Linked DNA regions of Danio rerio. The protein of the gene in region 2 interacts with the protein of the main gene of each other region in a pairwise test. Links are inferred from orthologs where the notes say so. Each region holds a gene or a part of one and is shown on either strand. Other genes may lie near its edges. The genes, in order: btg1, prmt1, spegb and daxx.

Region 1 (6,831 bases), on a different chromosome or scaffold from region 2:
ATGTACAGACGGGGGGGGGGAATAAAATCACAAGATACAGACAGCTTTATCTTGGGTTGCTCAGAATTTTTTCTTTTTTTTCGTTTTAATTTAAAAAGAAAGAAAAGAAAAGAAAAAAAACGAGGAAAGTGTATCAGCACAGAGCATGGAAACTGATAAATATATATATTTTTTACCAAAACAACTTTGGTCCTCTCCAACACTCCTAACACGAATGGCTTCACTTATGAAAGAGGAATTCATGTTAAAATATGAAATACAAAAAGGAACACGTCTACACACAGCAAAATATCAATTATTGGCACTTCCCATATGTATGGTTATGTACTTAATCTACCATATGTTGTACAATAACAATACATTCTACAAATATGGAACCACCTCAGATGCGAAAGTGGCAATAACGCGAATCACTTCTGAAATGACCGACAAAATTCCCGACCGAATCATTCCCTTCTGTTTTTCACATCTTAACCTGCACATCCATAAGGGTTTCAATGAATGTCTGTGGCCTGAGCTTGGCAATACATTCCAATCGAGACACGGTGGTCTCAAAGTCACATAACTTCAATGTTTAACCTATTAGTGCATTTCATGTGCTCTTGCCTCCAAGTAGACTTGAGTTTAGACTCACACAACGATACTTAAAACTAGTGTGCAAACAATTACCGAACTGAAGCGGAGAGTTGAAACGGTTTGCTGATGTTATTTTCGGTGGAGGTGGGGGGGCAAAGTAGTTTGTAGTAGATCTAAAATAAAAATAAAAAAAAGCACTCGAATTGTCTGTTCCAATTTGGTTGAGATCACCAGAATGTGGTTTAAGAGCTTTAACATTAAAACCAACAGGCAAAGTGTGGGGGGAGGGGCGCCTTTCAGAGTTTAAAGCATTCAGAAAGGTGGGATGGCGATGGCGTTCTAGTCATACGTTTTTTTTTTTAAATAGACTTTCCATCTCTCTATTAAAGTGACTGGACCAAAGCAAGAAAGAAAGGGACGGCAGTGCATCGATAACCCGGCGTTACCCATGGTCCTCTAACGTCAAAAGTATTAACACACAAAGGACTGATAATCAGCACCTTGTCTCGGCAGTTAGCGGCTAAGGCAAGAGCAATATGTCGCACACACATACACGCACGCACGCAAAGCCTGCAACCCGCTTATTTCCACCCAATGTAAACAGAATCGTCCAGAAACCAGGAGCACCCCATGTATCTCTCTTCTCATCCCGACTCGGCTCTTTATGTAAGGCTCAGTTTGGTTTGGAGTGCACTTGGTGTGTGCGTGCTGGCATAAATACTCTCCTCCAGGCTGCGAGAAGGGGGCCGGAGAGGATTGTAGCTGCCCTGATCTGAGGGTCCTACCCCCTTCTTCGGCCAGCCAATAGAGGGAGGTGATATGTTTTGACCGCGCACTCCTAGTTAAGACTGAGACCGGTGACGCCTGGCTGGAAAGTGCGTCGGGAGACCATCTGTAACAAGCAAGCACCACTGGGGCTTCTGCGATTCTGCGAGGAGATAGGAATACTGGTCCATTTGTCGACGCCGTTTCTTGCCGGTCTGTTAGCCACATACTGGCCATTAAATGGAGTCCTAATCTCTAACATGAATCAGTCATTAAAAATGGCAAGAGAGAATAACCTGGGATTGAAATGTCTCTCTCACCTTCACAAATATTGCAACCACGTCGCTCCATAAAGAGCGCAAGCAGAGATAACGATTTACGACAACTGAATAAAGAGGTATGCGATGGAATGCAGTTGGGTCGAATCGAAAACGTCATCCCACACAGTCTAAAATGTCAAAGTGCATTCAACATCCTTTCTAAAGGAGGCAGAAAGTAAAGACCACGTCTGCTCCAAGTCAAGAAAAACAAAAACAAACCTTGCTACATTTTTCATTTTGGCATGACGAGGGGCTTAAATAAATCAAATGTGTCGTCGTTGTTGGGTTTTTCTTTTTTTTTTCTTCTCTTTTTTGTTAGAAATTACATTCATCCAGGAGGGAGCCCCTAGAAAAGCTACAAGCATGAGAACCTTTGCATCACAGTGCCATCGACGGCTAGCGTGGGTAACAGTATGACACAGATATTCCACAGAGGCAGTGTACAGGATGGAGGCGGCTTGAAACCGGTTCATGTCGACCTGAAGCCCAAAAGAAGCCCTACCAGACACCAAGAAGAGACAAAAGTACCGCTTTGTGGTCCAAAAAAGTGAGGTTTTTAGAAAAATGAGGCTCAGAGCGGCACTAGGGTCTGGCACAGGCTCCCAGTGTTTGGGCCTCAGCTCGACAGCAAACGGAGAAAAAGGGCATGATGAAACATAATGGAGCATAATTCCTTAACATTTTAGAGGGAGTTTGTGTTTATGCAATAACATAAACCGTGAAAGCGAAAGTGCAAAGTCAACATCGGCAGATGATGGCAGAAACGCCCTCCCCCCCAATGACCACTGCCGTGGGAGTGGGTCAGTCTCTGTGAGCTGGGGGGCCGGGCGGTGTTTTAGGTCTTCATTAGCTGCCCCAGGGTCAAGCCTCTGGTAGATCCAACACAATAACAGAACAGACAACCAAAACGAGTGAAAAATAAACCTACAAGGTTTCCATCACCTGGACGATAGGACACATCCTGTTTTTTTTTTCTTCTTCTTCTCCTTTCTCTCTTTTTTATTTCTTAAAAATGACTTCTGTGACCCGTTTAGCTGGACACAGTCATCATGTAGGGTTTAGCTGGGCTGGTACGACCCAAAACCAGTAGTTCCTCCTTGCAGCTGATGTGACTTTCCACCATGGCCGATACCTGGGTGACAGATGAGGCGGGGATGCTGTTTCCAGTGGTGGTGCTGGGGTTTCCGTTGGTGCCGGGATGGGATTCGTAGAGCACGCAGATGGAGCCGTCCTCTCCGATGCGGTATGACACTTCAAATGGGTCGACCCACAATGTGAGCTCGCTGGGAAGCAACAGGTATAGCTGCTGAATGCTCAGCCCGATGCGCTGACCAGCCTGTCCAACCAGAGGGTCCATCTTGTGGTTGATACGTATGCAGCGATACCCAGAACCCTTGTTTGGACGGTCTGGGAACCAGTGGTGTTTGTATTGCTCTGTAAGAGAGAAATGGAGGAGGTCGTTATGTAATCGTCGATATATGAAGTATTAATAAAAAAGAAAAAGCAAAGAAAGCAAATATCGCAATGCAAAAGATTACAATGTTTATTTATTAAACAGTAATTCATGTTAGAGCTGCACAATTAATCAGAAAAAGATTGCGATCTCAATTCGACCCCCCACACAATCTTAATCCAGCATCTCTACGATTCAGCTAATTATATTTTCAACTTCTGGAGAAGTGTAAAGGCGGCCTCACAAGTCGTCACATTGTTTTATATAAGTTGCTCAGCAACATGAGCACCTCCAAATGGTATTAAAAGTGTCACATACTGTATTTATAAGGTATAATTCACCCAAAAATGTAATTTCTGTCATAATATAATGATGTTTTCGTGGCTGCGAAATCACACGAGGATGCACGCACGGGAATTATGTCTTCTTTAGTGAACAGACCTGGCATAAGCTGTGAATAACAGGTAATAAAGTTGTAAATTATCTTCAGTTTGTTGCACAGAGCAATCGTTCGGGAGCCCCTGTGCAGCTCCCAAACGATTGCTCTGTGCAACAAACTGAAAGTAATTTACAACTTTATTACCTGTTATTCACATGAATAACATGCATGTATGTTTTTTTCTCTGAGTGACAGCAGCCATGACAGTAGCGCACTTGGCAGTGAAAGTGAAACCAAAACCGCGCACATCATTTACATGATCGTGTCACATTTTACGACCAGGACAAATTTAAGTCTATTTAAGTCTACACGATTCCAAGTCTGTACAAAATGTAGCATTTTTAGCACTACACAAATAGGCCTAATATTAATATTGTTGTTTTACCATGTTTATTAAATAACATATTAATAGCCTACTCGTATTAATTTTAATTTTACATCTACAGAACCCTGGGGGAACAAAAATAGTTATTCTCACTTCAGCCAGAATTGTGCAGCCCTTCATGTTTTTTTAATGTTTATCAGTTTAGTTGAGGGTGCACATATATTAATGCATACATGCACACGTACATGTCTGGTCAAACAATAAGATCATGCCCTAGCCAATGGTAAGAACACTATTATTTTATGTTAAGCAAGCAAAAATCTAAAATTAGGTGGATCTGTTAATAAAACTCTGATCATTTTAATCTCAAAGTAATATTTCTAATATTGGCACAAATGGATTTGTTAACGTACTATTATGGATTCCTAAGTTTAATAAGAATAACATCTTTTTTATTATCCTTACCTTAACTAAAATAAAATTTAAAAAAAGTTTTATTAGCTAAATTTTAGACTTATTAACAAACATTTGCACACTTTATTCCTAAGTTTTATGTCATTTTAATGTTTAATAATTTTTAAATTCAGCACTCTTAAAAAACTAAAAATACTGTAAAGGTGCAGAATTTAAGAATATCTATTGGACATTTAAAGTACTGCAGTGTAATATACTGTATTTCAGTTTTACTTTCCTTTTTTTTCAGCGTGCGGTTGAGAGTAACCCACATGCATATTATTTCTAAAGGCTGATTTAAATATTGAAATTTGTGCATAAGTGCTCTATTTTTACTAACACTACTTTTGTAAATATTAAAGGGTTGTTTGATTATTTTCAACCTGTATTTTACTGAACAAACACTTTTTCATGGCTTACACTTTATGCTGGTGGTGTAACAAAAATGCTAATTTTGCTAATATTTGATTCAAATGGTCTTATTTAATAGATTTTCCTCATATTGCGTATTGAGATTTCTATGAAAACTATGTACATTTTACTGCTAGTTGAACTGAACATGTTAAAGTAAATGAGAATATGTACTTACTTTTTCCCTCTCTGTTGTAGTTGTACAAAAAAGAAAAATACTAATTAGAACAATTGCCAGTAAAGTCAGTATAGTTACCCAAATTGTTTCTGCCGCTCTTCCGCTATCTGTTAAATTTTTGGTGAAGCACCAATTAGTTGGGACAGAATAAAAATATTTATTATTAACATTATTATGACTATTTAAATGTCAAAATGCTAATTTAATCAGCCACAGATGCAGCTGTGTAAAACAATAAACATGCTGATTCGCATTATCACTGGTGACAGGTAATGGCTGAAATGTAAACATCATCATTTTCTTGTGCTTTAATGTTAAAACGGCCCTACTATAAATTGTCATTCACTGAAATGGCATGTTTGAGCTTGAGACCCCTGCTTTACAGTTTTATATTTGTGCACTTACATTAGTTTAGTCAGTACTAAACCAAAATCAGGAGCTAATCTAACAAAAAAAGTCACAATAATGGTTCAAAAAATAGTAGCCCAAATTTATATGTTATTGAAAAATATTAAATACAAAGAGAAGCAAAAGAAATTGAAATATTTAGTTGAAATTTTGTAGAATGTAATTTTTTAGCAATTATTTGATTGGATTTAATAGTATTATCTTTAATTTTTTTAAATATTTTTGGTGACTAAAATATTATTTTAATAAATATATGTTTAATAAATCTGTTTTGTTCTAATGCACCAACATATATTACTCATATTGACTGAGAAATTGATTTTCAAAATGGGGTGTTCTCAATTATGTCGAGCACTGTATATGCAATGTATTAAAAGAACTCAAATCAACTCAAATATTAATAATGCTGAACCCATAATCAAGTACTAAGTCTGCACTCTGATAGTTCGGCCTGGTTATGCAGTAAAAGATGGAGTGAGAGTCTAAAAAGATGTTTTTCCCAGCGCAAAATCATCATTGGTTGAACGCAGATAAACAACCATTAACCATCTGTGTCCAAGGCCTACGTGATGGAGAAAGAGAGAGCCGTTTGATTGCACAATCCCCTTTTGGCCCGAGAGTCACAAAGTCTTCAAACACAACGAGAGCAAAAGGCTGAAGTCCTGGCAAGGCAGCTGGAGGGGGAGGAACCCACCTCTTAAAGACAAAGCGTCCCATTTAGAGTATCATCATGGTTTCAAATCAATCTGCTTTACTTTGTTTTCGTCCATATATATTTTTTTAATCATTCTATAACATCAGTGAGCATATTCAGCTGTGACACCAAACCAAAATCATGACTCTTAAAGAGCCAAGTTACACCCTACACAAAGGACTTTTTTGGCATTTGCGTTTTTAGTCCCTTCTGGCTCTGTGTATTGGGTGACATGTGGAAAACAGGAGACTGAGGGATGGGTCTCAAGCCTCTTTATTCTGCTCTCAAATAGGCCAGGCCCCCGCAGGCCACCTGTAGACCAGGGTTAGATAATGCCGCCTGTGTGCTGTCTATGATGTCCCATCCCATTCTCCTAAAAGCCTAGCAGACAATGATCAATTCGGATCAACCCACCCACAACTCTGGACGGAGCCCAAAGCACAACAATGCTCACCCTACACATAAAAACATAGGACATGAACATCCAGATAGCCTTTGTGGCAAGATTAGGATGTTTTATTTGTGAAACAGGCCTTGCTGTAAGTCTGGGAATTAGGGCAAAGCTATGACGAACGTGTATTTAGTGATGTGATTAGAGAACAGGAAGCAGAAACAGATTTTCAGATCGATCTTACACAACACCTGTGTTTTCAATCTGGCAATCCTTTTCTCACACACACACACACACATTTAAAGTGTGTGGAAAAGGAACTAACCCACTTTTTTCTAGCCTGTTGGGGATTATGAGGAGTCTTTGTTCTATTGTGTGGACATATGTTTGGTTGAGACAGCCGAGAAGGAAAGGAAAG
Region 2 (8,842 bases):
AAATGTGCATATAAAACAATGCATGCCAAAAAAACAACAATCTCACAAGATTCCTGGAATTGTGTGCATGTGTGGTGCCAAAATATGATGCAAGATACAAACTACACTACTCAGACCAAGCCCTCTGGTTCCAATACTAAACATTTGGGCAAAACAAATGACTATCATTTATATCTTGTTATTCAAATGACAATAAACCTATTTTACAATGATCAACAGAAAACGAAAAGCAAAAAATACACCAGCATAGATCTTATTTTGTGCCATTCTTTAAAACCCTTAAAAATGCATCAAGTAACTGTTATCAAACTCAACAGCAATCTTTAAGAGGTAAAATTGAAGGTACAAAACAGGCAGATGCAGAACACCAGAGATACATCTTAACAAGATGACCCTCCTATAACGCTTAGCTCAAGGCGACAGCTTGATAACTGGATTATCGTGAAAAACACAACTGAAACGTGTCCTGTTGGCGAACAGCGATATCAACTGCTATCCAGCAAGTCAAGGTGACGAGAGACAAGACATGCTGGATAGCCGATCTGCAGAGGAAAGACGCGGTTTTCGGTGGCGGCCTAGCGGACTGTCTGCCGATGTAGCATCACTCCATCATCACCGGAGCTAAAGCTAACGGGCCTCAGAGATCAGCGATTACTCTCCTGATCTCCCTCATCAAGCGCCACTGATCTGACTGGCATGATTCACCCCGGCTAGAAAGCACAGCGAAGCAATGCAGAACAGAGCAGTTTGATTCAGCGTAGGGCGTATGTAGGAAGAGCTGAACACAGATGTTTGCGTTAGAAAATGACTAATGGTGTTTGAGTGTGACAGGGGCACTTACAGTTCCTGATGTCCGAAATGAACACCGCTAATCCTCGCATTCCGTCTCCTTTCGACACAGCCGGCATGTTTGCAGGGTTCTTCTCTCCAAGCCGGCTTCAAGACGAAATAAATGACTTTCAGATGTTCAGAGGTGCAGGTTTGACTGGCGCTGGGTGAGTTCGCCGAGCTAGTGAGCTAACTATCACGAACTCAAACACTAGCAGCAATTTAGCCTTGAATTGAATTTGAAACGCTCGTTAAACACAAAAATAACACCGCGAGATTATTCAGGGGTAAAAGAAGTGAGTGCTGTGAGAGAGAGAGAAGCTGGGGAGTCGGCGCGACTGGGGTTTCCGTTGGCTAACGTTAATTCATTCAATCCCGTGAACTCTCTTCAATGGGAAAGCGATGCGAGGCATAAACTTACGTTGCGACACGAGCTAATTTAAAAAACAAGCCAACGTGTTGATTTAACTGACGGGTACGCACCTAAATGTCGATGGTGCTAAAATATCAATTGATACCTCTCTGACTTTGAGTCACGCACGGCAAGCTAGCCAAACAGCTAGCGAGCTGGGCTAGCTCTATCAAATGTTAGAATACATCACCCAAAGGACCGCGATAGGACAACGGGGAATCCTGCTTCTTGACGAACTAATCTGACAAGCCTGTTTCTCGACAGAAAGGTGAATATTGGCTATAATTAGTCGTCAATTATGTACGAGACTTTTCGTTCGGTCGGTGTTCCCGGACGGAGCTCGTGACAGAACGGCCACCGAGCTCGCTCTTGCGCTTCCTCCACACAAGTCCCGCCTCCTGCTTGTTTCTCTTCATTTAATTGGCTAGTTACACTTTTGTCTCTGTCATTCGCTACTTGATTTGTCCGCTTATACATCAATTAAAATTGATAACTATTCTAATTGGCTTGAAAACAAGATCGGCACTGTTGAAAGTATCAAAGTGCAAGTATGTGGGAATGGTGATAAGTTGGCAAAATAGAGGTTGTAAATGGCACTAATTCCATCTGACGATTGCTGTTCCTATATTTATTTGCAATAGTGTGCAATTTAATGTGTGAAAGGAGAGAAATTACTTTTTCTGCTTAACAGAACTGTTTGGGAAAATATCTAATTGCGATTTGTCTGACAGAGATTGCAATATGATTTCTAATTTAATTATGTGAAGTAAAGCTTTAGCTCAGTATTGTCAACAGTATGCAGCACTCACTTGTCCAATGATCTAAACTAATTAAATCTTACAGTTTTTGAGGCATTTTCTAAATCTCTTTAATTAAATTTAGCATTTAAGGCAATATCAAATATGTTTATTGTGGACAATGGTGGCCAATTCAGTTAGGTACCCACTGCAGTATAAATAAATAAATTAAAAAGATAAAATATGTTGAATATATTATTAATAAAATTACACATTTGATTTGTTTACAGCATTCGTTGCAAATATGTTTGTTTTTTTCAACAAAGTAAGCTATATTTGATGATGCATAACCATCTTGTACATGGTAAATAAATATATTTTCTTTTTGTATGGTCTCTGTTACAATTCACCAGGAACTGAACAATGTTATATAATGTAAACTTTGATTTATAGGAACTATTCATCAAAGAAAAAGTGTCACCATTTGCTCACACTGGTGTTCTTTAAAAATTGTTTGCCATGATACATAAATACAAGATCATATTCTCAAGAATGTTGTCCAAACAATATTATTTCCTGTTAAGTATGAAAAATGAAAAAATTACCAAACTAACTTTTTTTTCTCATAGAAGATGTAACAAGGAGGACATTGGTCTTAATCTGAGCTAAATCCCATAGTATGATAATGTACAAACATCCATTTTCTCCAGATGTTGTTTTGTAAATAATCATTATTGTCTCCTATTTTATCAATGCCTTCTTTTTTTTAGAAATGTGCTTACTTTGCAAACTTTGCTTACTTTGTATAATTATAACCATATAGTTTATTTTGTGAACAAAACACATGACTAAAGGATGGTTTCCTAAAAAGATTTTGTAAGCTTTTCTATTAGCTTGACAAAAGTCCAACTAATAAAATTTACATGAAAACAATGAAACCATAATTCATTCATTCTCCTTCATCTTAGTCCCTTTATTCATCAGGGGACGCCACAGCAGAATGAACCGCCAACTTATCCAACATATGTTTTATACAGCGGATGCCCTTCCAGCTGCAACCTAGTACCAGGAAACATCCATACACACTCATTCACACTCATACACTACACCAATTTAATTTATTCAATCCACCTATAACACATGGCTTTGGTCTATGGGGGAAACCGGAACACCAGGAGGAAACCAACGCCAACACAGGGAGAACATGCAAGCTTCACACAGAAATGCCAACTGACCCAGCTGGGGCTCAAACCAGCGACCTTCTTACTGTGAGACGACAGTGCTAACCACTAAGCCACTGTGTTCCATAAACAGAAATAAAATGGAATACAGAAACTTGTGCAAAATAAAATATTTTTTCATATTTATTGTACAACATATAGATACATTTGGTACATAACATTTACAATAATAATTATATTATTTACAATGGTACCAATAAAGAAACAACACAAGAACAAAAAACAACAGAAATCAAAACAAAGAAATATGATATCAATAGGTTATCTAATCTGAGAATAGATGCAACAGATAATGAAATTGAAAATAAAAAGGGCAAAATAAAAAAGATAACAAAGATTGGGATATTTAATAGATTACACATGTTGTGCAAATTGTTTACGTTTTGAGTGCATTCTTGTTAAGTGAATCTGGAATTGTAAGTAAATTTTGATCTCTTGTATAAAATACACAAGTGGATTTTATATTTGAAAATTTTATTTATAAATATAAAATATAGGCAGGGCGAAGCAGTGGCGCAGTAGGTAGTGCTGTCGCCTCACAGCAAGAAGGTTGCTGGGTCGCTGGTTCGAGCCTTGGCTCAGTTGGCGTTTCTGTGTGGAGTTTGCATGTTCTCCCTGCGTTTGCGTGGGTTTCCTCCGGGTGCTCCGGTTTCCCCCAGAGTCTAAAGACATGCGGTGCAGGTGAATTGGGTAGGCTAAATTGTCCATAGTGTGTGAGTGCGTGTGTGAATGCATGTGTGGATGTTTCCCAGAGATGGGTTGCAGCTGGAAGGGCATTTGCTGCGTAAAAACTTGCTGGATAAGTTGGCGGTTCATTCCGTTGTGGCGACCCCGGATTAATAAAGGGACTAAGCAGAAGGAAAACGAATAAATGAATATAAAATTTACATAAAAATAGAATAGGGTTTATTGTGAAGCAGACATTAAATTTGTATCTACAACCCAAAATAATAAATGTTGGATTCACAGTAAAATTCTGTAAAATAATATTTGAGATAAAATAAATAAATAATAATCATGTTACAGTTTGGACCAATGACAGTCACGCATCAAAAGAGCGGAAAAACGCATAGTAGAAAAGCCTATGACGAAGAGCCGCAGGAAAGTGGGTGTGGTTATTGTAAAACCACGTGATTGTCACCCAATCAAATCATACAGTCACAGCAAAGAGGCGGGAGCAAAACAAGTGTGTTTTACATGAGCTTTGCTGCAGTCGCGGCTGTGTCCAGTTTATCGAAATGGCGGAGACGGCAGACAGAATGGAGGTAAGCTGAAGCTACTCAAGGCCGGTTCGCCAAAAACGCTTCTGATGCTAAATATCTCGTAACCGTATCAGAATCGACACGGCGATTTTATTTACGTCACACGCCGGTTCCGAATCTTTGGTCTGTGAACAGATTTGATTGCTGCGTATGTAGTTATCAGGTGGCTAGAAATGTGCGCACACGCATCTTGAGCATCCATTTTAGCCTGCCGCAGATAATTCATTCATTTCGCATCACGTGTATGCTAGTGCTAATGTGCTAAATTTGAGCTAGCTTCGAGTTTTTAGTTGTTGAGTGTAACCACAGATGAATTTTGAGATTAAATGTATGAATATTTCTGTCATGTTAGCTACCGTTAGCTCGCTGTTCAGTTTCCACGTGAGCACGCTGGCGGAGGACTTCAATGACTTATTGTTGGGCAGAGACCGCATGGGACTGATGGATAGGAGCTAACGTTACGCTTTTTTTTCCTCTCTGCTAATCACAGTGATTGGGTTTTTTAATAAAACATCCTGTATTGTTTACTATGATCTAGTACTTGCGTCGTGACTAAGTTTTCTTTTAGACCACTTTTCCTCAAATGTGTATAATTAAAAAGTAGAAAAATTTAAGCTTAAGAGGACTCTTCAAAGGTTAACGTTAGGCGTGTGAAGATAAAATATGACTTTTTTTGCTTAACTATCCATTTTAAAAAAAAATGTGTAAAATGGTTCATTGCCTGCTGTGATATTTGCCAAAAGTTGGAACTAAATTCAGAGGAAGCCACCGACTTTATGTAGTTCTGTGTAAAAACACTGTTTACTCAGGGTTATTTACACTTGGCATGTTTGGTTTAAACATGTTTTGGGTCATCTCTTGACTAGTACCTTATTGCTTGCTTGTTTGTTTTAATATACTGAAGATACTGCAAATGTTTGAGAAAAGCCCAGCTCATGACTTTACTTGCTTATTTACATTTTTCTTATCTATTGAAATTGAGGTGTCCCAGGGAGAGAGCTCAGCGAAACCTGCAGCTGAAGACATGACGTCCAAAGACTATTACTTTGATTCCTATGCACACTTTGGCATTCATGAGGTACTTTCTTGTTAGTTCATTAATCTCAGCATTAGTGGTGAAGTCAATTTAATTTATTTATAATTAATGTAAACCCATTGAATCTTCACAGGAGATGCTAAAAGATGAAGTTCGTACTTTGACGTACAGAAACTCCATGTTTCACAACAAGCATCTCTTCAAAGATAAAGTTGTGCTGGATGTGGGAAGTGGTACTGGCATCCTCTGTATGTTTGCAGCCAAAGCTGGAGCCAAGAAAGTTATTGGGGTGAGAAGTAGTCCCATGATTTATTTAAAGCATTTTTGTTACATTTAAGCCATTTATTTGTATGTGGTATTATTTGATCATGCTGTGTATTGTCAGATTAATTTATTAATTTGTTGGTCATTTATTCCTTAGATTGAGTGCAGCAGTATATCAGACTATGCTGTGAAGATTGTGAAGGCCAACAAGCTGGATCATAGTAAGGCCTTCTCAGAGCTTTTGGCATCTTCATTGTTAACTTATTTTCTCAGCATGTTTCAAGGGATAGTTCACCCAAAAATGAAGTTTTACTCCCTCTCAAGTGGTTCTAAACCTATCAGTTTCTTTTTTTCCTGTTGAACACCAAAGAAGATATTTTGAAGAAAGCTGTAAACTGGTAACCGTAGTGACAGGTTTGCATCTTTCTTCAAAATATCATCTTTTGTGTTCAACAGAAGAAAATCACAGGTTTAGAATGAGTGAGGGGAGGTTAAACAATGACCATTTTCAGTTTTGGATTAACAGTTTTGGCCTATACCCATTTTATTCTTTATGTACCTAAAATTTTTAACCATGTACTTTTTCCTGTCCAGTCGTCACTATAATTAAGGGCAAAGTGGAGGAGGTCGAGCTTCCTGTGGAAAATGTAGACATAATCATCTCTGAGTGGATGGGCTACTGTCTCTTCTATGAATCCATGCTTAACACCGTCATTTATGCCAGGGACAAATGGCTGGTGGGTGTATGCTAATGTCTTTTACCATGTTGAAACTGTTCAGTATAAAATCGTATGTGCTTTCTTGATTTAATCACTGTTCACGTTTTCCATTGTTGGCTTTCAGAAACCTGATGGCCTGATTTTTCCTGACAGAGCCACCCTCTATGTCACTGCTATCGAGGATCGGCAGTACAAGGATTACAAAATCCACTGTACGCATCAATCTCTTAATGCACTCTTGAGTCTGTTCAGCTTTCTTTAAAGCAGTAACTCATTTAATTGTTTCATATTTGCACTTTTTTAGGGTGGGAGAACGTGTATGGATTTGACATGTCCTGTATTAAGGAAGTGGCCATTACAGAGCCGCTGGTGGATGTTGTTGATCCCAAACAGCTTGTTAGCACTGCTTGCTTAATTAAGGTTTGTTTGCAACCTTTTATTTTCCAATGTTCACATAATCCCTGCTTTCCTCATTTAATATTCAATACGTTTTCTTGATTCCTTAGGAGGTGGACATCTACACCGTGAAGATTGAGGACCTGTCCTTCACGTCACCTTTCTGCCTGCAGGTGAAAAGAAACGACTACATTCATGCTCTGGTAACCTACTTCAACATAGAGTTCACTCGCTGCCACAAGAGGACAGGCTTCTCTACCAGTAAGTGCTGTGTGTGGTGTTCACCACAAAATCACTTTGTATTCACCACGAGTTTATTGTATTGAAGGATGGTTGAACCCTGTTTAAAGTGAGTTTTGCTTGCAGGCCCAGAGTCTCCTTACACTCACTGGAAGCAGACTGTGTTCTACCTTGATGACTATCTGACAGTAAAGACTGGAGAGGAGATCTTTGGCACTATCAGCATGAAGCCCAACGTCAAGAATAATGTGAGCCTTGTGTGCACGTCTTACTTTTAGCACCTTTAGTGAAAGTGTAGGGATGGTCATATATATCTTGTTACCATTTTAATGGGTTGATTTCTGTATTAAATTGAACATTTTTCCAGTTTCTAATTTATGAAGTCTAAAAGCTCTTCATTTGGAAATTATATTGTAAAATTACAACTTAATCACTTCTAAACGTTTTCACTTTCTTTAATATTAATTAGGGGTGTTAACCTACACTGGTCTCACGGTTCGGTAACGATTATCATGCCATCGATTCAGTTTAATTCGATATCTCAGTGCAAAATGAGTTTTTTTTTTTTTCTCCCAACACTATTTTTTTTTTTATTAAAATCTGAAAATATATTAATATTTATATATTATTTGTAACACAATTTTGTCCTTTAATACAAGAAGTAAGATATATGAACTGTACCTTTAATTTGACCTGCTCAAAGAAAACACTCTTTTTCAAGGTATCAAACAAAACTCCCAATACATACACAGAAGACAACATGAGCATTTTTAGGCAATAAACTTATGGAAATATTATCCCACTTGCTTTGAGCGTTGTTGAGTGAGGTCTTGCCTCTATGACTGGTTATTGTCTTCACCCGTTTGACAGAAACAGCTGTGATTGGCTTTAGACATAAAAGTGCTGTTCACTGATGAGTGACACGGGAAGAACAGCCATGGTTACAGTCTATATGTGCATAATATGCAGTTATCAAAGGTAATCCACAGTGGAGAAAACTCGCACCACAGGGAGGTTCGTGTCTGGATCCACAAGTATCGCTTTACCAGCCAAGAGAAGGGGAAAAGTTAACTCATGAACAGGCCAGCGGGTCAAATATACAAAAGTGAGGGAGGGAGGGAGGGAGGGAGGGAGAGAGAGAGGCAGAGATGGCTTTTTACAGCATTTCTCCTTAGTAGTATAATAGCGGCTCATGTGCTGTGTCTTCTTCAGTCAGTCTCAATGAAAGCCTTTCCAGTAAACTCACAAGCAGTTGAACTGCAAAATTATCTACCTTTTCAGTAGTAGGAGCGTTTTATTTACTTGCCCTCTCCTACTTCGCCATAGTATTCTACTGCGACATCGTGCATAGGAGATAAATGACATCAGTATCCAATAGTTTTTTGACACCCCTAATATAATAATAACTTTAATATCGGCCAAATGTTATTTGCAGAAAAGTTAATATATTTAGACATGCATCTCTTGACTAGCCAATTTTTTTTGCAGGATCATGTACACTCTGCCTGCCTGCACTCCAGATTCAGTGCAGCCCTAACATTTTTAATAGTTCCTCCCCCAAAAATGTTTTGTTGCTGAAGTAAAATTTTCTGCTATACAAGTCATTAATGCTTTCAGAGAGAGGATTTTTTTAAATTATTATTTATTTTCCAAATTATCAGCATTTGCTTTTAAAATGTCTTAAAATATGTCATGTCTAAAAATAAT
Region 3 (8,139 bases), on a different chromosome or scaffold from region 2:
ACAAATGGAACACACAGTATGTGTGCTTTTTTAAAGACACGCACACTGCAACACAGTATACCACAAGTGACTGTTATATCGTTTTTGCAAAGCGAGTTAGATAGCAGGTGTGGTAATCCAGCATTATTTTTTTGATAGGTTTATACTTTGTACCTCAATGTTGGGTCAGATCTACACACCGCTGCTAGATGTCAACACTAACTCTTATTATTATTATTATATTATTAAAATCTTATTATTATTATTATTATTGTTGTTATTATTGTTGTTGTTATTATTAGTATTATTATTTATATCTTGTGTCCACTGAATATAACTTTCCCTGTAATTTATAGTCGACTCTTTATTCCAGTGTGATAACTAGTAGTCAGTCAACAATTTCAACCAGTAGTAGCCTAATATACTTAATTAATTAATAATAATAATAATAATAATAATAATAATAATAATAATAAACCTTAAAAATTTTACTTTCCCTTTGCTTAGTCCCTTTTTTTATAGTTTTATTTATTTATAAAATATATTTTTATAAATCTGTAATATCATCTAAACTTATGACACTTTCAGTTATTAAATTTGAGGTGCTAGGCTGTAGCACTGAATTAAAGAAGACATAGGGACAGATGATTTGCAGAGAATAATAACTAATGTGCGTCCTGCAGCTGTATTAAATGACACAATATCGTTATGTTATATACACAGCAGCCAAAGTAGGTCAACAATTACATCCCTGAAAGACATCCGGAATAAAGCAGGTTGTCTGCTTTGATGACGATGACACAACCTTATAGTAAATCTGTTTTGTTCAAATGCACTGAGAAATGGACAAAAATACTCCCATTTTCAAAATGGGGTGTCCTCACTTATGCTGAGCACTGTATATTTAAATATTTATTACGCATTTGTAATTCCAATGGTTGAAAACATATATATGTAAACTGCCATTTTTGCAATATATTGAAATATATGAAATATGCTTTATGATTTTGTACATGTGAAATCCAAATATAAACTTATTTATCAATTTGCATGTATCTCCTTATATCGGACTTCTACAGTATATGCAATGCATAAAAGACTACGACAGAAATGATCAGCCCTCTAGATTTGCTACAAGTTATACACTAAAGCTTTCCCCAGCAGAATATAAAGTTACCAGTTAGCTATTTAGTTAGATCAGCTGGACTAATTTGCTTTGGCTTGGTCTTTTTCTTGTGTTGGACTTACGAGCGAGGGACACAACGCATGAGCTGGTGACTGTGGCCAGTGGGTTTGCAGCCACACATTCATAGAGGCCTGCATCCTTCTTGGTGGTCTTCATAATCATCAGCAGTTGTCTCCCATCGGGGCAAGATATCATATTCATCCTGGGGTCAATCTCAAGTGGCTTCTTGTCTGAGAATACACAACATTTCAATTGAGAATGTTAGTTGTGTAAAGTACAGTTGAGGTCAAAATTATTTGCCCCCTTTGAATTTTTTTTCCTTTATTAAATATGTTGCAAATTATGTTTAGCAGAGCAAGGACATTTTCACAGTATGTCTAATTTGTTTTATTTCGGCTAGAATAAAAGCAGTTCTTCTTTTTTTAACTTAAGGTCAAAATGATTAGCCCCTTTAAACTATCTTTTTTTTTTTTTGATAGTCTACAGAACAAACTATCGTTATACAATAACTTGCCTAATTACCCTAATCTGCCTAGTTAACCTAATTAATCTAGTTAAGCCTTTAATTGTCACATTAAGCTGTATAAAAGTGTCTTGAAAATATCTAGTAAAATATTATTTACTGCCATTATGGCAAATATAATATAAATCAGTTATTAGAAATGAGTTATTAAACACATTAAGTTTAGAAGTGGGTTGAAAAAAAATCTTCTCTTCATTAAACAGAAATTAGGGAAACAAATAAACAGGGAGGCTAATAATTCAGCTCAGCTAATATTTGTGACTTTAACTGTGGCTTTTACGAAATATAAATCTCTACAAGCTGCTTGTTCTGCTGCTTGTTTACATTTTAGACTTTGGTGGCATTACTGATATTAACTTTGAGGTGAAAAGAGACTTTTGTATTAATAATATAAAAATAAATAGCTTTGGTTATTTCAGCACAACAATTAATGTATCAAAGCGGGCATTATTAAAGAATAACTTTAATTCTTAAATGAATGAATTAAAAGATCATTTAAACTTACATGATATCATATCCACAAATCTGTTTATCTATAATATGTAACCTTGGACCTTAAGTTGCACATATATATTTTTGGACATAGTCAAAAACATTGTAGGTGTCAAAATTCTCAAAATTAATATTATAAAGATCATGATCCATTAAGATGTTTTGTACATTTACTATGGTAAATATATCAGAACTAAGTTTTTGCTAAGTGTTTTTTTTTTTCATTTAAATTGTATCAGTATTTTGATTTTAAAATGGTTTATCACAGCCAAATCCTGGAAACTGTGTCAGTTTATTTTGGCATGATGTCAAGCTAAAAGTATATTATGCATTATATAAAACTTTCAAACTACTCAATTATTGCCTTAGATAGTCTATTGTAATTTACTGAAAATTAATTAATATAAATAAAATAACACAAAGCCAATATAGTGAAACAAATCTATATAAAAGAGACGGCACACTTGCAATTTTATTAGATCAGTCTCTATGGACATTGCTTTCAATTTAGGCCAGATTATATTATCTTTAGTACAACAGAAGCTAATATTAAAAATTCAATCAGACCTTTCATCCATGAGATGTGTGGGTGAGGACTGCCAGCAGGGAGGCAGCTGAGAGTGACAGGATCTCCCTCCAAGAGTACATGGTCCCTCAGTTTGATATGGAACACCGGAGGGAAGTCTATTTTTTGATTGAATGATTAAAAAAACCGTGAGACAAGCATCATGTATCTTTCACTGCTGTGCCAAAGCAAGTACATATTCATAATTGACTCAATGATTATTTTAGGTTTATGACAAAGCAGCAAGTATTCAAACAGATTTCTCTATTTCTGCAAAGTTACAGTGAAATATACAAGTAAAATGTGCAGTACCAGATGTTAGACGTGTATATTGGCGAGACCGTAGAGAACCATTCTCTCTAGCAATGGAAGCTGGGATGTCTGGTTGGGAAACTGTCTTGTCCTTTTTCCCTCGAGTCAAGCCCCATCGGTCCCACCGTGATCTGCGGTCAAGTTCTGCATCTGGAAAAGACATTTAATGCCCTTTAAAATTAGAAGAACTGACAACAAAATAAAGCAATGAATGAAAAATTGCATACTTTTAATAGCTGATTCTGACTGGATGCTTGACATAGAATCAAGAGATTCTGATGAGGTCCCTTGCCCTGACTGAGCAGCCAGTTGGTTTTGTGGGATACCCATTCTCTTCAGACTGCCCCCCTCAGAAGTGGAACGCCTTAGTTTGTTGAATATAGGAGTCCTCTTGGTCTCCATCTTGCCTTCACTGTCATCTTTCCTGTCCTCAGAATGGCTCCTAATTCTTGTAGATAAGCTTGCCATGGTGCTGCCAATCTTCTTGCGCATGGCAAGAATAGGTGACTCAGAAGGTGCTTTAGACTCAGGCTCTGGGGGAGGCTCAGGACCCCCATCCAACCTCATCATCTCAATCTCCTTCTTCTCTTGGGATCCCCTCCGTCCCAGTGCCCAAGAAAGACGACGCCTGGGTGCTGAAGCCTCCTCCTCTTTGAGCTTCTCCTCCTGCTTTTCCACTGATGGGGTCCTTTTCAAGCGCATGGAGAGTCGCCTCATGAACCCAGGGTCCTTCTCTGCCTCTCGAAGATCTTGTACTGATTTGGACTTCTCCTCCAACCTCCTTGGCACAAACTCTAAAGGAGCACCAGTTGGTCCAGGGCGATACATTTCTTCAGCAGTTTCAGGAGAAACAGTGGAGGGCTTGTCTTCAGTCTTCTGAAATGAGAAACGTTTGAGACTACGAGTTAGAGAAGACTCACGTTTCTTGAAGCGAGCTTCAAAAACCTCCTCGGATGCAAGGTCCTGGATGTTGCTTCCAGGAGATGGCTCTCGCTTAGGGGAGGCGCGAGTGGGTGTCTTAGGAGGACTTGGCTCTTTGGGAGGGTGTTCAGTGGAGGCAACCCGAGAAAAGACTGCAGGATGCTCAGTTGTTTGGTGAAGATCTGATTTGGATGAAGAAGTTGATGAAAGGGTTGGTTCTGAGATGTGTCTGGAAATGGGTGCATAGACTGGAACTGATGGTGGAGTGGAAGTTGGTGTAGGAATAGGAACAGTGTCAGATTGGGTATTTGCTGGGACAGATGGTACCATGATAGTCTGCATAATACTGGCATATGCGGACATCCTACCATCTGGGAGCACTGTGCGTGCAGGGGGAGATGGGGTAACATAGGTTGATACACTCTGGGGACTGGATGCTGGGGCAGCTGTTGGGGTCACCATGATTGAGTTTGTGGAAATGATAAACTCTGGAGACTTTGGTAATACCTTTACATCACCCTCATATTCCTTAACCTCAATCTTTGGAGTAGGAGGCTCAGTTTCTTTCTCTGGCTCCTCATCTTTTCTTGTTTCCTCTTCCTCAATTGTTTCGTCCACTATAGAGGTCTTTTTTTCAATTTCAGCCACTTTTTCAGACTCTTCCCTGGTTTCCTCTGACTTGCTCTGGTCCTTTTTCTGTGCATCAGAATCCCAAGATTTCTGATCAACACGTCTTCCTTCTTCCTCAGTCTTTGACACAGCAATAACCTCTTCAGGTTTATTGTCCTTGTAGACAGATTCTTTTTCTTCAGTTTTCTTCTTTTCATGTCTTTCTTCTTCAGGCATTTGAAGTTTTGGAGTGATTGGGCGAGAATCTTTGACAGGCTCTGTGAGAGCAGACATGGATATTGCTTCCTGTAGGCGTCTCTCCTCTATTTGTGCTAGAGGAATCTCTAGAGGTGCTCCGATTCTTCTGTGCAGGGGCATGGGCTCTGAATCCCCCTGGCTAAAGGAAGCACTCTTGCGGAGAATCTTTGTCTTTGGGATGTCATCTCTAGGTGACTCACTAGATGCCGCTCTAACAAGTGGAGGGTTACCTAGACGAGATCCCCGCACAAACCGCTTCTCATCTCCCATACCTAGTGTCTCCAGCAATGGGCCTCGTAATCCACTCATCTTGTTGTCAGCAGAGCCACCCCTGAGTAGTCGCTGCCTCATCAGTTCCAGTTTCAGAGCATAGTCTTCCTGGCTAAGCTTTGCAGCACCTGGACTTGGGCTTCTCCTTGGAAGCTCCATAGATACAGACTTTTGTAGAATTCTACTTCCATCAGTAGGACTTTCTTCTGTGCCCTCCTCTGGTTTGATATGGAGCTGTAAGGCACTGTCAGCCGAACTCCCTCTGCGTAACTCTCCTCTGCGACGTCCTCCCTCTGGCTCATCTGACTCCATGCTTGAACCTCTGCGCATTGGTCTCTTTGCCAGTTCTGCTCTTTTGGCCAGTTGTGATGGTTCCTCATCAGACGACCCTTTTTCATCTTCTGTTGTAGTCCTCTTCTTGGCTCTACCCCTAGCAGATGGATCTCCACCTTCTCTCTCTGACATCTCCACTTCCATTGGCTCGGACTTCGGATGGAGTGAAGCAGGCCTCTCAGCATTTCCATTCAATTTACCTGTCATGTCATCATCACCTACAATTTCGGTCAGTGACATTCTAGATCCTGAGAATTCCACGTTGAGTGGCATGGGAATAAAAGGCAACTCATCGATGTCTTCATCTGAATCTGAAGATGATGAAAGTGGTGGTGAGCCTTTTTTCAGATGTCGCGGAACAGCAATGGAAATATGGCTGGAGGAGTCATCCAGTAGCTCAGGTACAGACCTCATCACCATTTTAGATTTGTAGCTGATAAGCGATCGCTAAGAGAGATATGTTAACATTGTTACAATTAAATAACACAAAGTATTTGTAATGTTCTAGACACTAAAAAAGTCAAATATTATCTTACCTGCCATTTTCTTCTGGACAAAAACTTTTTAAGGGACTCTGTACTGATGCTTTTACCCTTGTTGAGGGTCTAAAACAATAAAAGGCGAAACAATTAAGCTATAGGGTGTAATTTCATGGTTTAAAATTGTTTACAGCATAAATGAACAGCAAGATTTTAATAGATACAACAGTTTAATGCTAGATGACTTGTAAAATGAGCCTCTTTCCAAAAAAAGTGAAGTGTTCCTACAAGGGCACATTCCTCTTTACTCCTTCACTATGCCTTTACCTTGAACCAGGGGTGGCGAAGACATTCATTAGCATCAGGCCTCCTGCAGATAACATTAAACAAATTACCAGTTAACACAAAGTGCTTTTAGCAGTGAAAATCATTTTCTTGACAATAAATTATCGACAGGAGCGTGGTGAAGCAGATAAGAACCGTTGATTCCACTTACAATCTATCAGCCACCAGCAGCTTGATGACGAATCCCTTGGCTTCATGGCAGAGGTCTGTAAACATGCTTTCTTCAAAAGCCACATTATAATTCCTGATGTTGAGAACAGAGCTGCGGTCGTTTTCCCCAGCAAAAGGAGAAACTCCAGTAAGACTGAAAAGAGATCAGTTTTGTACATCTTAAATTAAATCAAGTGGCAGAATAAATGATAATATAATATAATATAATATAATATAATATAATATAACATAACATAACATAATATAATATAATATAATATAATATAATATAATATAATATAATATAATATAATATAATATAATATAATATAATATAATAAGTTCGTAAACAATTTTTATAGTGGATTGAAAAACTCTAGTCTGAAAGTTTAAAGTAGTTTCAAAGTTTCAAAGACATTTGAAACAGTTGACACAGATAGATAAGTACATGTAAGCTAGCATGTTTCTAGCATGGATTGGAATATTTCTTGCTAGGCGGTTGCTAAGGCATTGCTAGGGTGTTTGACTGGTTGCTAAGCGGTAGCTAAGGTGTTCTGAGGGGTTGCTAAGGCATTGCTAGGTGGTTGCTAGGGTGTTCCAGGTCATTGTTAAGGTTTTGCTAAGGTGTTCTGAGTGGTTGCTATGTGGTTTCTAGGGTGTTCTAAGTGTTGCTAAGGTGTTGCTAGGGTGTTTTATATGGTTGCTAAGATGTTGCTTAGTGGTTGCTAAGGTGTTCTGAGTGGCTGCTAGGCGGTTACTAAGGCATTCTAGGTCATTGCTAAGGTGTTGCTGGGTGGTTGTTATGGTGTTCTGAGTAGTTACTAAGGCATTGCTAGGTGGTTGCTAGGTTTTTCTGAATGGTTGCTCAGGCATTGCTAGATGGTTGCTATGATGCTCTAGGTGGTTGCTAAGGTGTTGCTAGGGTGTTGTTAAGGTGTTCTGAGTGGTTGCTAAAGCGTTGCTGGGGTGTTTTATGTGGTTATTGCTAAGATGTTGCTTTGTGGTTGCTAAGGTGTTCTAAATGGTTTCTAGGCAGTTGTTTAGGCATTATAGGTTGTTGCTAAGGTGTTGCTAGGGTGTTTAATATGGTTGCCAAGGGTTTGCTAGGTGGTTGCTAGGGTGTCCTGAGTGGTTGCTAAGGTGTTGCTAGGGTGTTCTGAGTGACTGCTAGACAGTTGTTTAGGTGTTCTGAGTGATTGCTAGGCGGTTGCTAAGGTGTTAATAGGCAGTTGCTATTGTGTTCTGAGTGGTTGCTAGGCGGTTGTTAAGGTGTTCTGAGTGGTTGCTAAGGCATTGCTAGGTGGTTGCTAGGGGCTCTACGTGGTTGCTAAGGTGTTCTGATGGGTTGTTAAAATGTTGCTATGGTGTTCTGAGTGGTTGCTAAGGTGTTGCTATGGTGTTCTGAGTGGCTGCTAAGGTGTTGGTAGGATATTCTGAGTGACCGCTCGATGGTTTCTATGGTGTTGCTATGGTGTTCTGGGTGGTTATTAGAGAAACTCCTGTAATACTGAATACAAATAGAACTGTTTTATACATTTTATTTTAAATAAAGTAACAGAACAAATATATAATATAATATAATATAATATAATATAATATAATATAATATAATATAATATAATATAATATAATATAATATAATATAATATGGACACTTCCCTACCATAAGTATGTCAGAACACCAATGGGCCTGTAAGAACAAAGAAACAGTTGAATT
Region 4 (8,139 bases), on a different chromosome or scaffold from region 2:
TGGATTTGGAAAAGGGCAAATCAACGAACTATGTTTGTAACGACGGAACTTGCAAACTTAGTTTGCTAATGATGGTTTTGGGAAAAGCACCCCTGAATAGTAATACTAAACAAGTTAATCTTCTTAACAGTAAGACTCTGAGCTAAGATACCGAATTTCGCTCTGTGCTACCATCACAAAGGGTCTCAAAATAAAAATAAATAAAAAAACACAGGGACCTTAACCCTTAATAGTCCATCTTGATGGAATTTTCACAAACCCTTTGCAAACAGCTCCCTATTTATTTGCACTTGACACTTTCTTGTCAACACTCCATGTTTCTGGGAAAACATTGTGCAATTCTGAGTATGTTTCATGCAGTTGAGTGGGCTTGACAAACCACCTGTAGGAGCAGACACTCTTTTTCTCTCCATATGCACCAGACACTTTTCTACAAAAGCTTTATTACTAGGACTCAATAATAACTATAAACTAAACTAAGAATTGTCATGGCATCTATACATTGCTAAGTGTTTTTTTCATCCTCATTAGTAAGTCGCTTTGGATAAATATGTCTACTAAACTAAGAAATGTAAATATGAACATTTATAATCTTCTGTAGATTTTTGGATATATGAACAACAAGAAATGCTTCATTCGTTTACCTCTTTTTTCAGTCTTTCTCTGTCTTGTCTTTTCTTGGTTTCCTCCACTTCCATATCCTCCTGTTTATTGGCGTATTTGTTGATGACCTCCTCCAGGCTGCTGATGGCCACGTCTCTATTAGAGCGGAGTTTACGATGCAGTGCTGGGTCCATGAGTGCAGGGTCTAATGCTGGAGAAACACACATTGCATGACCAACTGCACTCCATCTGCAGACTGATGAACTGAAAAATATATATTTTTATACTAATAATTTTTAATAGGAGGTTGATTTGAGATTGATTCTCAAAAGCTGTAAAATATTTTCTAAATACATTTTTCTATATAAAAAATATATATTTAAACGGTCAAACACTTGAGTGACCATAAAATACAGGTTTATGTATTAAAATGGCAATTTGGTTAGTATTCATGTGAAAAAAATTATTTGAATCTAAAGTTGAAGCAATTCAGGAGACATAATCAATGTATAAAGTCTTAAAGCGACCACAGTCTAATAATTTAAATTTTTATGCCTTTAAAATTAACCAAAGAAAAGATAAAAATAATGAAACATTTAATACACTTTGCCTGCATATTTTTCCTAGCTTTACTAACATGTATTTAATAACTTAATTGAACTATTTTGAATCTACCAATATTTATACATTAGTGTTGCCACATTAATGGAATTTCCGACATCGATACGATACCTTGAAAAATATCAATATTTGAAACAGCGGAGAACAAATTCTGCAAAATTAAAAGTATCCAAATGAAGTAACAATATATTGTTTAACCATCGATATCACAATGTGATCGTTCGCAATAGTCACATCGCAGGATATGCAATGTTGAGTCTGGATTATAATTGATCATTTTGCAAGTGTTTTTTAAGGACTGTGACTGTGTGAGGGTTTTAAAAGCATTCAGGCCTAAAAAATTGTATTGTTTGTAACCTTGAAAAATAAAAAACGATTACAATAACGATCTAACTGTTTATAAAACTAAGACTATGCAGTAATATTTTTAGATTTGATTATTCATTCTCCATTAACCTGAATATATTTTGACTCTTCGGAAAACAATAAAACAAGGTTTATTTATTAGCATATTTTTCTTTATTGAATTTATCCATTCTTGTAGACTGTTTATTATATTTTATGCACTCCCCTACAGAACATTTGCAATCAAACTAAAATTATAGATTCTTTACAAACATTTATTCAACTCATCTAGTGAAATAGTATTAATATCGCAAAATATATCAAAGTGTAATTTTTCCAATATTGTGCAGCATAGTAAAAAAAACAACAAAAAAAAAACAATACTAAACCATGTTATGCACATATCAAGTTTTCTCAGCAGTCCTATATATAAAATATATAAAACAACAAAATTAGCACAATCTCATTTAATATTCTGCTTAAAACAAAAGTGTTAAAAGTCTTATTATTAATTATTCATTTCCCTGCTGGTATCAAAACCAACCAAAAGTTGGTTGGTACAAAAAGATTGTACCATTTTAAATATTTAAGAAATGATATTTATTGATTTTTTATCAATATCAAACACTATACATACATGTTTTTAAGTGTATGCATGAATATAAAATGGGGGCCACCGTCTTTGAAACCCTGTGCTATTTTTCATATTATTATCACTCCTTCTCACATTCATCTGATAAAAAGTCAAATAAAATACACATGCACCTGATCACTTTCTAGAAATATCAATAGCATTTGTATTAAAGTATTTGTATTTCCACTGTATGCAGCATCCGGTCATGCACCAGCCGGCTGAAGGAAAGTTTCTTCCCTCAGACTATCAGGCTGATGAACACTTAACACACCCACACACAGACTCTTCCATAACCCTTACAGCAAACCATCAAAATGTAGCATGCACTGCACTTTAACCAATCCATACTTGAAACAAAACTACCTACAACGATGTGGACACCTATTCATTGTACATATCGCTGTCAATTTCACATTGTCACTGTGTTTGCACTGTCTGTATTTTGCACTGTCGTTGTATTTGCACTGTATCTGTATTTTGTCGTGTCTGGAGTCAGCACCTAAGCTTTTCACTCATCATAGCACACATGCTGCTGATGATGCGACAATAAAAGTGATTTGATTAGCAAATTCCCTGACTTTTCTGATTTTCACCTACTAAAACGCTAAATTTCCATGACCCAGACACCTTACTTTTCACTCAAGAGCAGTGTAATTTAATTATATTTTGATTAATGGGAAGTACTATTTAAAACGTATAAATAAAAATCCATAACTTGCACAAAAAACCCCCGACTTTTAATGCCTGCAATAGAACTTTTAAAACGGATTAAATCTACATTTACTGAATCGATTGCTTATGAATCAGAATCTCAATCAATGCCCACCCCTAGTTTGAATCATCAAAAATTCAAGTCATTAGATTATTACAATATGAGCTTTTCCTTCTGAATTAGACAGTTATTAAATGAAACTGATTTACTTGGTTTGTATGGATCTGTGAGATGAGAGCCGAAGTTGTAGACCATGTCAAGGTGTCGTCTCTCCTGTAGTTTGTTGCCCGTCTCTCTGAAGGCTTCTTGGGAGATCTGTGCTTGCTGTTTGCGGGAGAGCTGGAGATTGTAGCGTTCGTTGGCTCTCTGCACAATCTTCAGGATATCGCTGTAGTCTGGAGGATTGAGAAGAGCTTCTGAACTGTTGATGAAACGCTCAACCTGCTCAACAAAAAGAGAAGAAACAATAAGAGATAATGAGAGAGGAAAAGGTTTGGGTAAACATTGATTCATTTATTAATATTAGGCCCCTGGAATAGGCTAGTTCAATAAGCATTTTTGAGTTTTATCAGGAGGCATTTAATGTAAACATAAAATAAAATAATATTCTCAAATATAATAACACAAACATTTAAATTAATTTATAATTGATTTAATTAAAGTAAATATATGACAAAAACTAAACTTATTTTTATTTCTGCAAGTTACAAAGAAACTATACAAATAAAAGTATAACAACAAAAAATAACAGGAAAATATCATAATCAAACTAATAAAGCTTAAATTAAAAACAGATAATCGAAAAATAACACATTTATTTAATCAACAAATATTTTAAAATCATAAATATTCCATTAAACTGAATTAATTTAATTTAATTTAAGTAAATGTACTAATTTCTGCACTATTGAATTATAAAATATTAAGGTTACAGTAGTTAATGAAAACCAAAATAATTAGTTAATAATTAAATAAACCTTAACTTATAATTTTAAATACATCACAAAAACTAAACTTTTATTTCTGCTAGCTGCCAGGAAACTATAATAAATAAAAGTATAACATCAAAAATAACTACAAAAGACCATAATCAATAATAATTTAAATTCAAAGCAGTTAATCTAAAAATAACACATTTTAAACTATAGCAAATACTACAATCGTTACTTGATGATGCTAAAAGAAAACCAATCCATACTTATGAACCATTTTTGATCCCTAAAACAATGAATCTTCAAGCAAATACAAATCAATGATATTATAAATCATGTTTTACTTGAAATAAACACACAAAATAAAACAGTATTAAAAAGAATCATCTGATCAATGATCGCTATCATACATAAATCTCTATTTATTTCAAATTTTCTAGCCTATGCTTTAAGGGAATTTATTATAAACTAATTAAAACCTGAGCTAAAACTCCCCTCTTTTTAGAGAGTCTAGATATTAGTTTTTAAATTGCTTTAATGTATGAAAATAAAGTAAAAAAACTGTCCAAGCAAAAGCCCGCACCTTCTTGTTGATCTCTGGGTATCTCGTTCCACTGTATGGGATCTTCTGCTCGATCACTCGACCCGTCAGAGTGTTACAGCCTTTCAGCTCACACAGCTTCTCATAGATCTTCATCATCTGACACCACAAAAACAGCTATAACAACTTCTGAACGTTCACAACTTCTGCTATAGATTTCATAGATTATACATCAAAACAGATTTAACTGAATCTTTGAATACAAGTTAAAAAAATGGCAGAAGTGAATGGGGTTTGTAATCATGTAATTTTTTTAAAGAAAATGTTGCCATTTTTTAATTTTTTGTTGCAAGTAATTTTACTGATATTGTATGTGTAGTAATGTGTTTTTGATTTAAGGTTGGAGCGGTGCATTGGGTAAGCTAAATTGTCTGTAGTGTACGTGTGTGAATAATAGTGTATGGGTGTTTTCCAACGATGGGTCAGCTTGAAGCACATCCACTGCGTAAAACATATGCTGCATAAAATGGAGGTTCATTTCTCTGTGCCGACCCCACATTAATAAAGGGACTAAGCCGAAAGGAAAACGAATATATGCCTGGCAGGAGGCAACAGATGAAATTTAAGGGCAAACTCACACTGTACAGTTGCCTTGAACCAGGCCAAAGCACGCTTGTCCCCCTTCCGTCTCCCCCGACGGCCCGCACTCACATTACATTCAGGCCTGGGCACCCTTACGTCATCGATGCTGTACTGTTCAGTAAGCGCTTTCGCTCAGCACAGTGGACATTTCTTAATCAGTTGTATTGTTTAAGTCATTTAGAATGCGGTGACACGCAGTAAAATATTTCGCCGAACAGATCCATGACTTTTGACGCTCATAAACAATCATAAAGACCTCGTGCTGCAGGAATTAGGAGGTTTGCTGAAGGTGCAGCTGTCGTGCAGTGAGGGGTTTGCGTCTTTAAAATCTACAACAGTTTGTGTTCATTGAACAGTACGAATGATAATAATGCCATATTAAACAGTCTTGTAAAAGTCACGTCTCATCTTCAGTTTCGGCCTCTGGTGCACTTTGCTCATATATATATGACATTTAACCGTGCCTGAGCCCGATTCAGAGCACTCACACTTCTGAAATGATCCGGGAAACCCTGGGCACGGTTCGAATAGCATAGTGTGAGTACGCCCTAAAATTCTTGTGACTAACTTTGGCTAATTTAAAGTTTTTCTCTTTGAGCATTGTCCCGGCTAAATAAATACAGAAAGAACTAAAATCAGGAATAAACAAGCTGACCTTGCGTTTAAGTTTGTGCTCTTGAATATAACTGGAATCTTCTTTCTCCAAGTCATCCAAACTCAAATCCCCCTCCTGAAGCCGGCGGATCTCCTCATTATACACTTTCAACAGGTTTTCCAGATACGCAATCTGAAAAATGAGAGACACACAAATTACTGTAACCGTAAAATAGACACACTTATTTGTTTTCCTGTGATTTTTTGTTTCTTTTATAAATATTTTCCTAGTGATGTCTAACAGAGCAAGGAATTTTTCACAGTATTTCCTATAATATTTTTTCTTCTGGAGAAAGTCTGACTGATTTTATTTTAGCTAGAATAAAAGCAGTTTAAAAAGGTCAATATTATTATCCTCTTAAGCTATATATTTTTTAGATTGTCTGAAGAACAATCAACAAGTCATACAATGACCTGGCTAATTACCCTAACTTGCCCTAATTAAACCTTTAAATGTGACTTTAAGCTGCATACTAGTATCTTGAAAAATATCTAGTCAAATGTTCGGTACTGTCATCATGACGAAGACAAAAGAAATCAGTTATTAGAGATGAGTTTCTATCATGTTAAAATAATGTGTTGAAAAAATCTTCCTTCCGTTAAACAGAAATTAGGGGAAAAGGAGGGCTAATAACTCCGACTTCAACTGTATATGGTTAACTTATCTTACAGTACCTGTCTTCTCGAAGCTCTTTTGGTTTTCTTTGACTCCTCTTCCTGCTGTTTGACATCTTTTCCTCCGTCTTGTTCACCCTGAGTGTCCTCTTTAACATTAACCCCATTGCTCTTCTCCTCAGGTTTGGCCTTGACAGAAAGCGACTGTATGGAGCTTCTCTTCCGCGGCGTGTGCTGCTTCAGAACAGTGCAGAGTTCATTAATGTAGACGAAGGTTTTGCCAGCGTTGGCCTGGGCTCGAGTGAGGCAGCGGCCCAAAGTGTTACGAAACTCCACAGACGTCAGAAAGGTCGGCAAAGCCTTGGAGTATCTGGTCTGCAGGTAAGTCATGACTTCTGGATGTTCTTGCGAGTGTTTTGAGCAGTGCTCCACAAACTGGAGGAACAGGATTGGAGTAGAAGCGAGACAAGAAAGAAGGCAAAATAAACAAAATTTTAGTAGGATAACAAAAAGAATATTTCTGTTATCATTTACCCACTCTTTACTCTTTTTAAATCTTCATAAGTTCTTTCTCTTGTTAAACACAAACAAACATATTTTGAGAAATGCTGTAAACCTGTAACATTGACTTCTATAGTATTTGTTTTCCTACTATTGAAGTCAACTGCTACAGGTTTTCAGCATTCGTCAGAATGTCTTCTTTTATTGTTCAACAGATAAAGGACTAAAATCCTTTAGGGTAATATCATTTATCGGCCCAGCCCTACTTGAGGGTGAGTAAATACTGAGTAAATGTCATTTTTAGGTGAACTATCCCTTATATTTACAGCTGGCGTACATTTTTTTTTAATACTGGGGTATTGTTTTATCATTTAAAAACAAAAACATATATTTCAGACCACCTTATAGAATGCATTTAACAAAGTATGCTAGACAAGTGCAACTGTTTTATATGGTGCCTAATAAGAGAGATAAAAATAAAAAGAGAAAATTATGATTTTAGGCATCATCATAATAAAAGAATCATATAATTCCTACATTAGAATTGTGTTAAAGCATTAAATGAGACATGCAATGTTAGTTTTATTTTTTCTGAGCAAAGAATAATGACTATCCTACATTTTTACCATTTTCAGATTTTTAATTAATATATTTTCCGTACAAAAGACAGACACTCAAATGTCTTAAGGTGTTGGTACAGTTTATCTATCAAAAATATTATTAAAAGTTTATAAAAATCAATTGAAGATCTATTAGAAGATTTAAAATGCGGTCTCAAAATACTATTTAACTCAGCTGTCAAAATATATTGCGATAAATGATATTATTGTATTTTAAGACCATTTCTTATTAACACCACTCATTATAAAAGGCCAGAATGACAATATAATATCACCAAATGCAAGTACACTCATGTCCATGTGTTGTGCAATAAGTGGATACAGTTGAAGTCAGAATTATTAGCCCCCATTTGAATTTTTTTTTTTCTTTTTTTTTAAATATTTCCTAAATGATGTTTAACAGAGCAAAGTAATTTTCACAGTATGTCTGACAACAGTTTTTATTCTAAACAAAGTCTTATTTGTTTTATTTGGACTAAAATAAAAGTTTCATAATTTTTTAAACACCATTTTAAAGACAAAATTATTAACCTCTTTAGGCTAATTTTTGTTTCGATAGTCTACAGAACAAACCATCGTTATACAAAAACTTGCCTAATTACTCTAACCTGCCCAGTTATCCTAATCAACTTAGTTAAGCCTTTAAATGTCACTTTAAGCCATATAGTAGTGTCTTAAAAAATATCTAGTCAAATATTATTTACTGTCATCATGGCAAA

Evidence for each region.
Region 1: the proteins of prmt1 (region 2) and btg1 interact in a two-hybrid assay, tested with the Homo sapiens proteins (2 studies listed by BioGRID). The link is inferred for Danio rerio from reciprocal best matches to the Homo sapiens genes PRMT1 and BTG1.
Region 3: the proteins of prmt1 (region 2) and spegb interact in binary tests that used the Homo sapiens proteins (3 or more experiments, as listed by UniProt). The two-hybrid records come from large-scale screens. The link is inferred for Danio rerio from reciprocal best matches to the Homo sapiens genes PRMT1 and SPEG.
Region 4: the proteins of prmt1 (region 2) and daxx interact in a two-hybrid assay, tested with the Homo sapiens proteins (2 studies listed by BioGRID and IntAct). The link is inferred for Danio rerio from reciprocal best matches to the Homo sapiens genes PRMT1 and DAXX.

The regions. Positions count from the first base shown.
Region 1 is NC_133179.1:17,123,779-17,130,609, forward strand, and holds the end of btg1 (protein BTG1), read right to left. Parts: intron 3,096-6,831; coding exon 2,692-3,095; 3' UTR 1,970-2,691; downstream 1-1,969. UniProt on the Homo sapiens protein: Anti-proliferative protein.
Region 2 is NC_133178.1:31,170,307-31,179,148, reverse strand, and holds the start of prmt1 (protein arginine N-methyltransferase 1), read left to right. Parts: upstream 1-4,365; 5' UTR 4,366-4,456; coding exon 4,457-4,483; intron 4,484-5,462; coding exon 5,463-5,558; intron 5,559-5,649; coding exon 5,650-5,805; intron 5,806-5,937; coding exon 5,938-6,001; intron 6,002-6,374; coding exon 6,375-6,517; intron 6,518-6,623; coding exon 6,624-6,711; intron 6,712-6,803; coding exon 6,804-6,919; intron 6,920-7,005; coding exon 7,006-7,156; intron 7,157-7,261; coding exon 7,262-7,383; intron 7,384-8,842. UniProt on the Homo sapiens protein: Arginine methyltransferase that methylates (mono and asymmetric dimethylation) the guanidino nitrogens of arginyl residues present in proteins such as ESR1, histone H2, H3 and H4, FMR1, ILF3, HNRNPA1, HNRNPD, NFATC2IP, SUPT5H, TAF15, EWS, HABP4, SERBP1, RBM15, FOXO1, CHTOP, MAP3K5/ASK1, MICU1 and NPRL2.
Region 3 is NC_133184.1:43,384,517-43,392,655, reverse strand, and holds part of spegb (striated muscle preferentially expressed protein kinase), read right to left. Parts: intron 8,113-8,139; coding exon 8,086-8,112; intron 6,577-8,085; coding exon 6,424-6,576; intron 6,298-6,423; coding exon 6,255-6,297; intron 6,054-6,254; coding exon 5,985-6,053; intron 5,896-5,984; coding exon 3,285-5,895; intron 3,208-3,284; coding exon 3,058-3,207; intron 2,865-3,057; coding exon 2,748-2,864; intron 1,396-2,747; coding exon 1,228-1,395; intron 1-1,227.
Region 4 is NC_133194.1:8,075,383-8,083,521, forward strand, and holds part of daxx (death domain-associated protein 6), read right to left. Parts: intron 6,735-8,139; coding exon 6,360-6,734; intron 5,818-6,359; coding exon 5,686-5,817; intron 4,548-5,685; coding exon 4,431-4,547; intron 3,357-4,430; coding exon 3,125-3,356; intron 815-3,124; coding exon 645-814; intron 1-644. UniProt on the Homo sapiens protein: Transcription corepressor known to repress transcriptional potential of several sumoylated transcription factors. Down-regulates basal and activated transcription.